3 linked regions of the Mus musculus genome follow. The main gene of each other region encodes a partner of the protein of the gene in region 2 in a complex. Links are inferred from orthologs where the notes say so. Each region holds a gene or a part of one and is shown on either strand. Other genes may lie near its edges. The genes, in order: Elmo1, Dock5 and Rhog.

The links.
Region 1: the proteins of Dock5 (region 2) and Elmo1 are in contact, whole or in part, in a cryo-EM structure (PDB 8JHK), measured with the Homo sapiens proteins. The link is inferred for Mus musculus from reciprocal best matches to the Homo sapiens genes DOCK5 and ELMO1. Residues at the interface, in NP_079216.4 of Homo sapiens: Met1, Ala2, Arg3, Trp4, Val14, Ala15, Ile16, Tyr17, Asn18, Ser22, Gln23, Gln30, Ile31, Gly32, Asp33, Thr34, Glu39, Tyr41, Gly43, Trp44, Arg46, Tyr48, Lys56, Ile58, Pro60, Glu61, Thr62, Tyr63, His65, Leu66; in NP_001193409.1 of Homo sapiens: Ile7, Val8, Lys9, Ala11, Tyr18, Pro19, Leu21, Glu23, Glu36, Asp39, Gly40, Ser42, Asn71, Gly72, Gln392, Asp393, Leu400, Glu401, Lys468, Arg531, Glu535, Leu536, Lys539, Leu547, Gln550, Gln551, Asn554, Arg555, Asn582, Thr688.
Region 3: the proteins of Dock5 (region 2) and Rhog are in contact, whole or in part, in a cryo-EM structure (PDB 8XM7), measured with the Homo sapiens proteins. The link is inferred for Mus musculus from reciprocal best matches to the Homo sapiens genes DOCK5 and RHOG. Residues at the interface, in NP_079216.4 of Homo sapiens: Val232, Phe345, Asn393, His394, Lys395, Gly396, Trp400; in NP_001656.2 of Homo sapiens: Ala121, Pro123, Leu126, Arg127, Arg128, Lys130.

Annotation. Positions count from the first base shown.
Region 1 is NC_000079.6:20,286,007-20,289,506, forward strand, and holds part of Elmo1 (engulfment and cell motility protein 1), read left to right. Parts: intron 1-713; coding exon 714-764; intron 765-1,884; coding exon 1,885-2,007; intron 2,008-3,500. UniProt on the Homo sapiens protein: Involved in cytoskeletal rearrangements required for phagocytosis of apoptotic cells and cell motility. Acts in association with DOCK1 and CRK. Was initially proposed to be required in complex with DOCK1 to activate Rac Rho small GTPases.
Region 2 is NC_000080.6:67,930,771-67,935,076, reverse strand, and holds the start of Dock5 (dedicator of cytokinesis protein 5), read left to right. Parts: upstream 1-1,504; 5' UTR 1,505-1,742; coding exon 1,743-1,785; intron 1,786-4,306. UniProt on the Homo sapiens protein: Guanine nucleotide exchange factor (GEF) for Rho and Rac. GEF proteins activate small GTPases by exchanging bound GDP for free GTP. Along with DOCK1, mediates CRK/CRKL regulation of epithelial and endothelial cell spreading and migration on type IV collagen.
Region 3 is NC_000073.6:102,240,056-102,243,775, forward strand, and holds part of Rhog (rho-related GTP-binding protein RhoG), read right to left. Parts: intron 258-3,720; 5' UTR 190-257; coding exon 1-189.

The sequences.
Region 1 (3,500 bases), on a different chromosome or scaffold from region 2:
ATCTGGTTGAAGCAGTTCTTCAGTTAAGGTTCCCTTTTCCTTAGGTGTGTCACATTGACAACTGACGTTAGCTATTGCAAGTCCATTTGATAAAGCTAGCCCCAAATCCTCTATACCAGTCAGTAAGTGCCACAGCCCAAAATACAGAAAAGAGGCTTTGCTAAGTGGGTGTGAACTCTACTGCATAGCATCTGCCCTTCAATAATCCAGACTTCAGTAATCCGGACTCTGTTCACTTGCATAATTTCCCCCACATCTAGGGGCTGTGCCCTTCATTTTCAGCTTGTACAGATTAAAAGGACTGGCTTCAGCAGACGTTAGACTTTTGACTCTTTCTTTCCATCTTCTGGTTGACCTGCTTATTGAACAGTACTTCCTTTATAAGTAAATGTATAAAGTTTTAAAAAAGTAATGATGATAAGAGCCATCAAAGACACAGAGAGTCTCAGAGGTGTGGGGACACTTTTGTAGTGTTTGCGTTTTTAATTCTTTTTTAGAAAGAGCAGACATTTTTTTTTTTAAATTCTACTTTGCTTTTGGTCCTGGATTTTATAATCCAAACCGAATGTACAAAAATTAATTTGAATTGGCCATTTCCCAAGAAATACTGCTGATATACAGTTGAGAAGCACACCCTAGGATGAGGTAGCTTCTGGCCATCCTGACGTGAGCCTTTCTAACGGAAGCCTTTGTGGGCATGTTTTCTTTCCCAGGAGATGGCGAATATTTTGGCTCAGAAGCAGCTGCGCTACATCATTTTAACAGTGAGTACCCCGTTCACTGAATCCACCATGTTAGGGAGAAATGTCCTAGTTAGTGTCTGTGGGTTCTTCTGTGGTTCCACACTGGAGTTTGAACACTAGGGCCAATCTAGGAAGGGGAAGTATGCTTTAGAACTGGCACAGGCAGTGCTCTGCTGCAGCCACAGCCTCGGCCTGCTGGACGAGGCAAGGAAACATTTAGTGCACCTCAGCTTAGGTGTGCAGGCAAAGAAAATCAGAAACTCCTTGGCTCAAAAAAAATCCACCAGTATGAGCTCTTTTTGATGAGGAAGGTGGTTGGAAATATGGGAGGTTCTGGGAGAAGGGACTTAAAATTCAGGGGAAAAGAAGTTTGCAAAGTCATCTTGTCAGCGTTTAGAGATGAACCCTTTAGGAAGGGTTTTTTTCCGAGCTATTCACCAGTTATTGGAAGGAAGCAAGATTAATACTTATGAAACTAACAAACAGCAACGACCCAATCTGATGTTGTAATTCTACAGTTCAGCAAGCTTAACTCACGCATGCGCACACACACACGAAATATAGGTTTTAAATTCTTCTTTATATATGAAGAAGAAAACAGATCAAAAGGCCATTGCTTTTTGAAAGGCATTGGAAAGAAAGCTTCTCACTTAAAATTCAGCAAGGGATTGGTATGTTCTACAGCGCGGAATGTGCCACAGCACGGTAGTTACATAAGAGGGCAGACCCAGGAAATAAGAGAACTGCATGGAAATGAGGGACACAGCCTTCACTATGGTTTCCTAGGGAAGGGATGCTTCAGAGAACACACTCCAGCCATGTGACACTCAGGTTCAGGAATGGCTAGTTCGGTGCTTTCTGTAGGCTACGGTGTTTATAGGTTGTGTCTAGTCTCAGGGTACCTGGCTTTGGGTGTTTGGGACACTGGGAAGATGGCCATAGCCCTCCTAGTTTGCATATAAAAATACTTCTGCTATCTTATCTCTACAAACTGTTTGGGGCTTGTGCTGGAGTGCAGGTTCTGCAGGGTAAGGAAGTTCTCACATGCCAGAACTTCAGAATCATGGCTAGGGTTAACTTTGTGCTCTGAATCTTTTCTTTAATAATTTTAAAAAATGTAATTTGTCCACAATGTCTCTAGCATGTCATCCGAGCACAGCGGGCCATCAACAATGAGATGGCACACCAGTTATATGTTCTCCAAGTGCTGACCTTTAACCTTCTGGAAGACAGGATGATGACTAAGATGGACCCCCAGGACCAGGTAGGTGGATGCTCCACACAAATGTAATCAGAGACAGAGACAGTGCATCAAATGTCTGTCCTTTAGCTACCCTCAAATCCGGAGTCTTATATGATCCCATAATTGTTTTCTTGACATCTCAGAACTTGGACATATTGCTTTAAAGTTTAGGTGACCCTAAGATCAGAGAATAAAATGGAAGGGCTAGTCCATGAGGTTCCATATGCATGCATGTTTTTCCTTTACATTTAAGAGCTTGAGGTTAAAGCCCTGGGCTCTTGACCATATTACATTAAGTGGGGTCAAGTTCCCATACAGCTGAGGGCATTCAAGGCCTTGAGTAGCATTGATTCTACAAGTGGGAGTGGTTTGCATTCTCCAGTATCTAAGACCAAAGGCAGTTTGTCCTTTTCTCCCGTGCACCCTCATTTCTAGGCCTGTGTTTTTGTTGGCTGGCCAGTTTTTCTAACTCCCTGCTACCTCTGTCACTGTGTACAAAACATTCTGTTTCCACCCAGAAGGCTTTGGGGGGAGCTTCCCTGCAGGAGGGTAGAGGGAGGAAGCAGCTGGGAGCCCCGCCCCTGCTGTACACATTTTCAACTCAAATAGTGGTGCAGCTGTGGAAAGGAAAACATTCGCTATTGGCACGTGAGGGCCTGATCTGCTGCAGATGCTGAGCTGCACATGTGGGGCGTGTGGCTGCTGCGGCCCTCCATTCATGCTGAGAGGCCATGTGAGTAAGACTGAAGGAGAGGCTTGCATAGGCCAATGATTGTGCCCCGTGCTTTTTCTCTGAAAACCAAGATTGGTGTAGTACAAGGGAGACAAGACAATTGTTTTGCCACTTGGAGCGAGGGAGATCAGTGCTCTTAATATGGAGCAACACGCTTCATTTGTAAACACTTCCCCTCGTTGAATAAATGGCGCATAACATAATTAATCACTTTATCCATTAACTACATTCACATTGTTATAACCCCACTGCATGTATCTTCAGGCCTCCTTGTATGTGGCCAGACTGAATTTCTGTGCCCTCTGAAACCATATTTGCTCTCCTCCTATCCCTCCAATCCCTTCTGGGTTTCTATAAATCACCCCTCTGCTTCCTGTTTTTATTAAGTTGACTCTTCTACAAAGAGTTGATGAGCAGAAAAAAGATATTAGTTGCTTTCTATCTAGCCTGTTCTACTCAGCAAATTTAAGTTTTTAATTATAATGTTTTATGTTTTAGATTATAACATAAAAAGAGTATTGCCCTCCTCCTTCCCTCTCCCCAGCCTTCCCATACACCCACCTCCCTTGCTTTCAAATTCATGGCCTCCTTTGCTTTAAGTGTTGTTGCATGTATCTGTATTTGAACTCCTAAATACATAAATACAACCTGCTCGTCCATATACTATTACTTGTAGAGATGATTTCCGGGCTGACTAGTCGGTCTTGGATAGTTAGCTGATGAACTCTCCCTGGTGAAGACTGTTTCTCCTACTGTTAGCAGGCCTTAGTTACTTCCTATT
Region 2 (4,306 bases):
TAAGTCGATCACAACATCATTGACCTAGAAGAAGTTATTTTTGGGGAGATGGTGGAAATCTTTGTGGATGTCAGGTCTACACTGATGGAAATATGTCTTGCTGTGTATTATAAATAGATTCCTATTGGAACTTTTTTCTTTCTTTTTTTAGAGTGTTTCCTTAGCCATTTTTAATTTCTTCTTTTGAGAACTGCTTAGTACAGTAGCTCAGTTTGTAGTTTGGTTGATTGCTTCCCTATTGCTTAGAATTTTTGGTGATTTTATTTTTCTAAATATTCAGTATTAAGTATACAATGAACATGTAACTTTAAATCACAAAGGAGATAAATGACACATTATGTAATCATACTCAACTTTAAGATCTCAACTATCAAGAATAAAAACTGGCATTAAAAAAAAAGAGATGCGACTGAACCACTTTAAGAAAGATGGCTGAAGCACGGTCATAAGTACCTATTGTTTCTTTCAACCAGGACTTTAAGTTCAGAACTTACTTTCTCAGGAGGAAAACCAAGACTAATATATATATATATATATTCAGGCATGGTTTGCAAAAAGTCATCAGAGTTCACTCATCTCTAATCAAGCATTACTGTCTATTACTGTGTGTTTTAATTACATGTTCTGTTCTTGTCAGGTTCCAAACCGGCAAGAAAGCCTCCACAGACTCCAAGAACAACACAATTTCCCGCAAGAGGTATTTTTCAGATGGCGAAGCTAACTGGTTGGCTGGTTAGTCTGAAATTTTACTTCTAAGTGTGAGGTGTCCTTACTACTAAGTAGCTTTTTCATTCTGGAGGTCTCTCCAAGATGGAAGCGCGTCTCCCCGCCGGCAGAGGGCGCCAAGCGCACCCCTGTGTAGTTTAACGCACAACTGCCTTTTGGAGTCCTCAGTCCCAGGCTGAAAAAGGACAGTGGTGGGAGTTGGGGGGTGGGGTGGTGGTGGTGGTGGTAGATGTTCTGGGGTCCTCCCCACAAGGATGCCTTCTGGGCAGGGGGTCAGTTGGAAAGGGGAACCTTTTGGAGCGAACTTCTTCCCTTAGTGTGAAAGTTTGTGTTGCTGCAACTGAGGAGAAATAAATCCCTGAGTTTGGGGTTTCCGGATTAGCGCTTTGTCAACAGTGTCCTAACGGAGGGTCTTCTAGATTGGATACGTCTACTTCTGAAGCGCCCGTGTCCCTTGCACCAGTTCTCTGCGGACCTTGAAGCTCGGCTTCCGGCTCTCTCGGGGCTGCAGCAGACGCTCCCGGAGGCGAAGGCGGGAGCTCACGGCTCATTCATTCAACAAATATTTACTGAGCGTCCGGAGGCGACCGGTGACTCTCACCAGCTCCTCCTCCGCGCTCGGCGGCGCAGCAGCCCGGGAGCGCTGGGCAATCGCAGAGCCGACGCTGGGAGGACCGGGCGGGCGGCTCCGGGCTGCGGCTCCAGCCGGGCGAGGCGGAGCCGGCGGGGGAGGCGGGCGGCCCCGGGGCGCAGAGGGCGCGGCCAGCGGGAGGAGCCCGGGCGGCGCCGGGGAGGGCGCGCGGGGCTGCACGGCCGCCGGTCCCAGCAGGTGACCGCGGGCGAGCGGGCGTGCGTGCGGGGCCCCGGGCGCGAGCGAGGCGGGACGGCGTAGACGCGGCCGGCGCGCCAAAGTCGTCCAAGTTTTGCCGGAACATGGCGGAGGAGTCCGGCCGGCGCAGCAGCGCTCCGAGCACGAGTGTCTGTAGCCGCTAGCGCCGCGGGGCGAGGTCGTCGCCATGGCCCGTTGGATCCCTACCAAGAGGCAGAAGTATGGGGTTGGTGAGTGCTTGCCCCGCCCCACCCTCGCCCGAGCGCCCGGGAGTCCACTTTGGCCCCGCGGAGCTCGCGCACACTCGGCCACTCGGTCCCGCTGCTGCACCCCGGGAGTCTAGCCCGCTCTGGTGTAAAAGTGCTTTTAGGCTTGGGGACTCTGATCCTCCCCTATCCGAACCCCAACTCTAGTGGCGCACACTGTGGGAACGCGCCAGGTCCCCACTGCCGTTGGTGGCCAGCGAGGGCCGCACGTGGGACGGTGCGCTTTGCGAGTGCCCTTCCCCAGATCCCACTTGGAAGCTCCAGAGTCCCTTTCCCTCTCTCCCTCCCTCCCTGGGACTGCAGTCCGGATCGCAGTCAAAGACAAAATGGGAAGCCGAAGTTGCCAGTAGAGGTGATGGAAGAGGCAGGAAGTGTGAGGCGTGGGAAGGAGGGCAAGGGGGTCCTGGGGCTGTTTGTGAGGACACCCATCTGACCTACTGGCGTGGTTGGAGAGGTGTGACACAGCTTCCCCCCAGGGGCAGGAAGAGGGTAGGTTCCGCGCAAGCGGGTGGCGTTTGTGTTCGCAGTACCCTAGCGCTCCGTCATTGCTGAACTCTGGCCTCTAGGTTTGGATCTGAAACCTTGGCGTTGAGGGGTTGGACCCAGGTGGAAAAACTTTCCACTTTCACTTTTCATTGAGCCAGGTCAGGGAGGAAGCACTCACCTTTAGCCGGACGATTGCCAGGAGAATTAGACTTTAAATGGAGCCTCTGGAATAAACAAGTGTGTTGTGTGGGAATTTTATCACTTTCTCTCAGGTCCACTCACTTGGCGCGTTTGAAATGCAACCCCTTACTTCACTCCTGTCAGCGCACCTCTTTTCCTTCAAGTCCTGGACCCACAGGAACACTGCCTGAAATTATCAGTCTGCCGTGACAGACATGAAGTCCTATGTGCCTATGTAACCGGGACTCAGACACCGCCTTCAGTCTTTAGTATATTATAATGTGATGCAGATTGAAAGCCTGCATATGTACATTTGCAAATATGTATATATACACACACACACACACACATATATATATGCATAATTCTCAACCTTTTTTTTTTTAATTTGTCTTTACTTTTAGAATTTTTGCTCCTCCACATGGCTGTGGGTTACATGGAAAGGTGACATTTCTTCAGTCCCAGATCAGTAGGTCTTGACTTAGCCTTGATAAGTAACTTGACTAGATACCTGCTAGTAAGTAGCTGGTCATTGTGTAAGTGAAATACTGTAAAATGGATGAAGGGTTGGGTGTGACAATCATAGAGCATGCCTAAAGCCCTGGCTTCCATCTTCTGTACCACAAGAGGAAATTAATTTATTTAAACATTATAGAGTACTAATTAATGACTAAAATATGCTTAGCAGTAACTAACCACTAATTATAAAAGGGTCATTTCTAACTTTACCTGGGTTAAAAGTTGTTCCCAACAAGTATGTTTCCGATGGGTTTGCTGTATGTAACCATAGGCACGGGAGTAAGAATGTTTCCAGTATTCCCGTGTTTTGGAGTCAGGTTTTTGGTTATTTATCAGTGGGCACTGAAAGTGTTCGGATAGTGTTTCTAGGGGACAGAGCTTAGCAGAGTTGTTCCAGGGTGTAATCTGGGGCAGTTACTTCACTAGACACAGCAGATCCTGGTAGGTATGGATGCTGAAGCACAGAATATGCGCTGACGTCAGGGATGAGTGTTCGTGGGAGGGGGCGGGTTCTGTGCTCTTGCATTTGGAAGCAGATGTACCTGGCTGCAGGGTCCAGTTGTCAGAGTCCCCACACTGAAGTCCCTCCCCCTTCTGTGAACTCTTCACTGTAGACAGTCCACTCATCTCTGTGGTTAGGTATTCTATGGAAAGTCACTTCTGTGGGACTTCACTCTCCTGTGCTTGTACCCCCATCTACAGGACACCCCTTCCCCCCACACATACACTGCATCCCACACCCCAGCCTTTTTTCCTTGGGGTTCAGTTCTGCCTTCTGCTTTCTTCCTTCACCTCTGCAGCTTTTCACTGCAATCTCTTGATCATACCTTACTTTCTTTCTTGCCTTATTCCCCCTCCCCTACCGGGTGCTATAGACTGCTAGCCTCTTCAGCAGAACAGCTGGGGCTACTGGCCAGAAGCAAATCAGCTTTATTGACTGTTAATGTAGGAAGGCTTAGTTAAGGAAGGTCACTGGTTTCTCTTCTGGGACCCCAGCCCTTCCCTCTGACCCCTTCTGACTAGTGGTTTGTGGGTGTTTTGTTTTGTTTTGTTTTGTTTTTGAGACAGGGCTTCTCTGGGTAGCCTTAGCTATCCTGGAACTCACTTTTGTAGACCAGGCTGGCCTCAAACTCCTGTGTTCAAACCTGCCTCCTGAGCGCTGAGATTAAAGTCATGTAACCACCATTCCCAGCATGACTAAGGGTATTAGTTCTTCCCTAATTGCACATACGTAAAGGGTGCAAGGGTATTTATCGGGAGGGGGAGTCGGTCATCCACGCTGGGGTGAGACTTTCTAGTG
Region 3 (3,720 bases), on a different chromosome or scaffold from region 2:
TTCCTCCTGGCCCGCAGTGTCCCACAGGTTTAGGTTCACGGTGCGCCCATCAACCGCACTCTGGGCGCTGTAATTGTCAAACACAGTGGGGATGTATTCCTTGGGGAAGGCGTTAGTTGTATAGCAGATGAGAAGGCACGTCTTGCCTACGGCCCCATCGCCCACCACCACACACTTGATGCTCTGCATTGTGCTGTAAAGTTACTGTCGTGGAGGCAGTGCCTCCTCTCTCTTCTGGACCCCACTGAAGTAGTGACCTGTGGAGAGATGAGAGGGACATTCATGATTTAGGAGACCTGTACCTACTGAGAAGAAAAGATGAAGACAAAAGAAAAACCACTTCTTGTTCAGTTATCCTGGTGTCATCCCTATCCCATCAAGACAAACATCAGAAAGAAGGGGAGATGCTGGGTGTGGTGGCGCACACCTTTAGTCCCAGCACTTGGGAGGCAGAAGCAGGCCTATCTCTGTGGGTTTGAGGACAGCCTGGTCTACAGAGAGAGTTCCAGGACAGCCAGAGCTGTCACACAGAGGAATCCTGTCTTGAACCCCCACCCTAAATAAACATTGAAACAAGGAGAGGTACTGAGCAAGATGTTGCAAATCTGCAGCATTATATGGGCTCTGGTACCAGCCTAATGTCGAATCCCTGTTTCTAGCAATGACAGTGGAAAAACTACTTCTTCAAACCTTAGTATTTTTACCTGTGAAATGGACATAATACCTACAGCATGTACTTATGTTATGGATTAGTCATTACTTTTAAAGCACTGAGGATAGTACCTGGTCAACTTTTGTTCTTCCTCAGTACAGGGATCTGTTAGATCATTAACGAACTACTTATGGACTCCTCTCATTAGTCTCTCAGGATTTGTTCCAAAGCCTCAAAAGTCAAAGTCAATATGCATGATGGCACCAGGGCAACCCATTGCTGGGAAGCAGAAATGATGGAACTTTGGTGCTGTGAGGCTTCAATGGACCCAACCTCTGGGACTGGTTCTCTCCCAGAACGCTCTCTTCTCGGACCAGCTGGGAGGGAAATGGTGCAACTGGATGAGGTAACTTCTCACTCCCACCAACAGGATTCCCATCTGCTGTAAACGAGTGCGTGTTCAAGCTCAGGAGAGTCAGCAGTCGTCCCTCAGAGTGGGTAGCAGATGTACATAAGGCCCTCCAGGGTAGCAGAGGGAGTCTCAAGCTGCAAGACCACAGACCTAATTCTACTGCAGCTCTCGGACTCACTGCGGCCAAGCACTGGGCACTTATCTGTCTGGGCCTCAGTTTCTCTTTTCAGGTAATGAAGTAGAAAGTCTATGACAGGGTTGGAGAGATGGCTCAGCAATTAAGAGCAGGTACTGCCTTGCAGAACACCTGAGTTCAATTCCCAGCCCCGACCCTCTCTGAGCAGCTCCATAACTGCCTGTCACTCCAGCTCCAGGGAAGCCTATTGACACTTGTATGAAAAAACATATAGACAGACAGACAGACACAAATACACATAATTAAAAAATAAATCTTAAGAAATCTACAACAAGGGCACTAGGTGAATGAAGTAAAACAAGCTAGACGGGGTAAGTTTACCAGTAATCCCAGCATTCAGGCAGCAGAGGCAGGATTATGCAAGCTTTGGACCAACCTGGTCTACCTAGTGAGTTCTAGGCCTATCAGAGATACATAATAAAAACCTGCCTCGAAACAAAAAAGACTTAGGCCTACAGAGGAAAAGATTCATAGTTCATATGTGAAATCTAAATTTAAATATATTTTAAATATGTGTGTGTATGTGTGTGTGAGAGAGAGAGAGAAGCAGAAGGGGAACTACTTGGGAAGAGGAAGGGCAATGTGTAGACAGAAGGGGTGAGGAGAGGGAATGGGGGTGACTGTGTGTATAAAATATGCACACATAGGAAAACTTCAGAATGAAATCTATTTTCTGGTATCCTAACATGGATCATTAGTTGTGTCCATTGTATTATTTGGGTCCTGGCATTTCACAGCAGAATTCCTGGGCCTGAAATCTTCAGGTCCGTTCAGAAGCGGATGAAGTGGCAGTAAGACTATGGCCCCCTCAAATCCAGCAATGGGCTGCACAGACAGGAAGGCAAGGAGGGAATGTTAGCCAGCAGTCACAGGCCCAAGAGACCAAAAGTGCAACAGGCTCTCTAGGGAGGTGGTTATCAACCAGCGATCAGTAAGTCAGCCCTCACAGGAGTGGGGAGGGAGAGTAGCTTCCAGGCTGGCACCGGAAAAGGATTATGAATGACTTAGTGTGGCATATGATCAAGAGCACCAGATACCTGAATCTGACCCACTGAGCTCACCCTGCTGACCTAGATCCTCAATAAAACACCCTAACCCTAACTGTTAAAAGTAATCTAACCTCACACAGCTACTTAGAGTATGGGAGCCAGGACACAAACTTAGCTCTGTGATCCAAAGCCCCAAGTTTTTTTCACTGTATCTGATGGCTCCCAGATAACTGTGGAGCCTTGAACAAATTAGTCATTTCCTTTACGTCAGCCTCAGTTTCTTCATCTACAGCAACAGCCATAACACTCGCCTTCCTGGCCTCATGAGGGTACAGAATGAGGGTGCATTCTACTTTGTAAATTATCTCGTGCCATGTACATTGGCAGCGACAAGAGCAAAGCCTTCCATCCCTACAGGCAATAAGCATGACATATGCGCATGTGTGAGTAGGATCTAGTTGCTCCCTACTTACTCCCAGTTCAAACTTTCCCCCTTTCCCAATACAACTATTCTCTTTTCACCTTTATTTTATTATCTTGTTGTTGTTGTTAGCATTAGTGAGGATTGAACCTAGAGCTTCACACATGCTGGGCAAGTACTTTGTCTTTGGCATGCTATCTCCAGCTGTATGGCAAGTCTTTTCCCTCAAATTCTCTGGCTGAAGTGGGTCAGATAAGCTTCCTTTAACTACTTAAACTCATGCCTGGATTCTCACTTTGTCATTCAATTGTGAGGGGTTTTAGAATCATACAGACCTGGATTTAAACTCTTTTTCCCACCACTTATCAGTTGTGTGACCCTGGACTTAGAATGAATTGCCTCGTTAATCTTCATTTTCCTTATCTCTCAATTGTGGCTACAGCAGTACTCTCTCACGGGGTTACTATAAAGCTTAAGTGCATTAATATACAGTATTGCATGATATAGGTACTTATGAGTTCCTAGCTCCCTTGCTCCAAAAGGGTCTACAAGGTGTTTGTAAAGCAAGTCTCCGTCATTCTCCTCTTCTTATCCCTTCTCCTCCTCCTTTTTCAAGACAGCTTCATTGTGTAGCCCTAGCTAGCCTGGAGTTTGTAGACCAGGCTGGCCTTGAACTCTGAGATCCACTTGCCTCTGTCTCCCAAATGCTGGGATTGAAGGTGGGCACCACACCTATCAAGTCCTACTCATTCTTGTCTCTCAGAGTTTATGCTTGTTTTCCTTTCTGTTGCTATTCCCTTTCCCCTTTCAAATCTTCCCCATTCTTCTGGGCCTAGGCTAAGTCTCACCACTCCATAAGGCTCCATAGCATCGTTACCTCTTTTAACTCTGCTTTGGCTGTGGATCTCCTTCTCTGTACATAAGTGGTAGATGCCCCCTTAAATAGCAGGCTGGGTTTCTGTCTCCTCAACCACAGAAAAGCTGTGAGTGTAGGGCTAGACACACAGGAGTGCACAGCCACTGCCTTCTGATCTGTTGGGAAAGCACTTA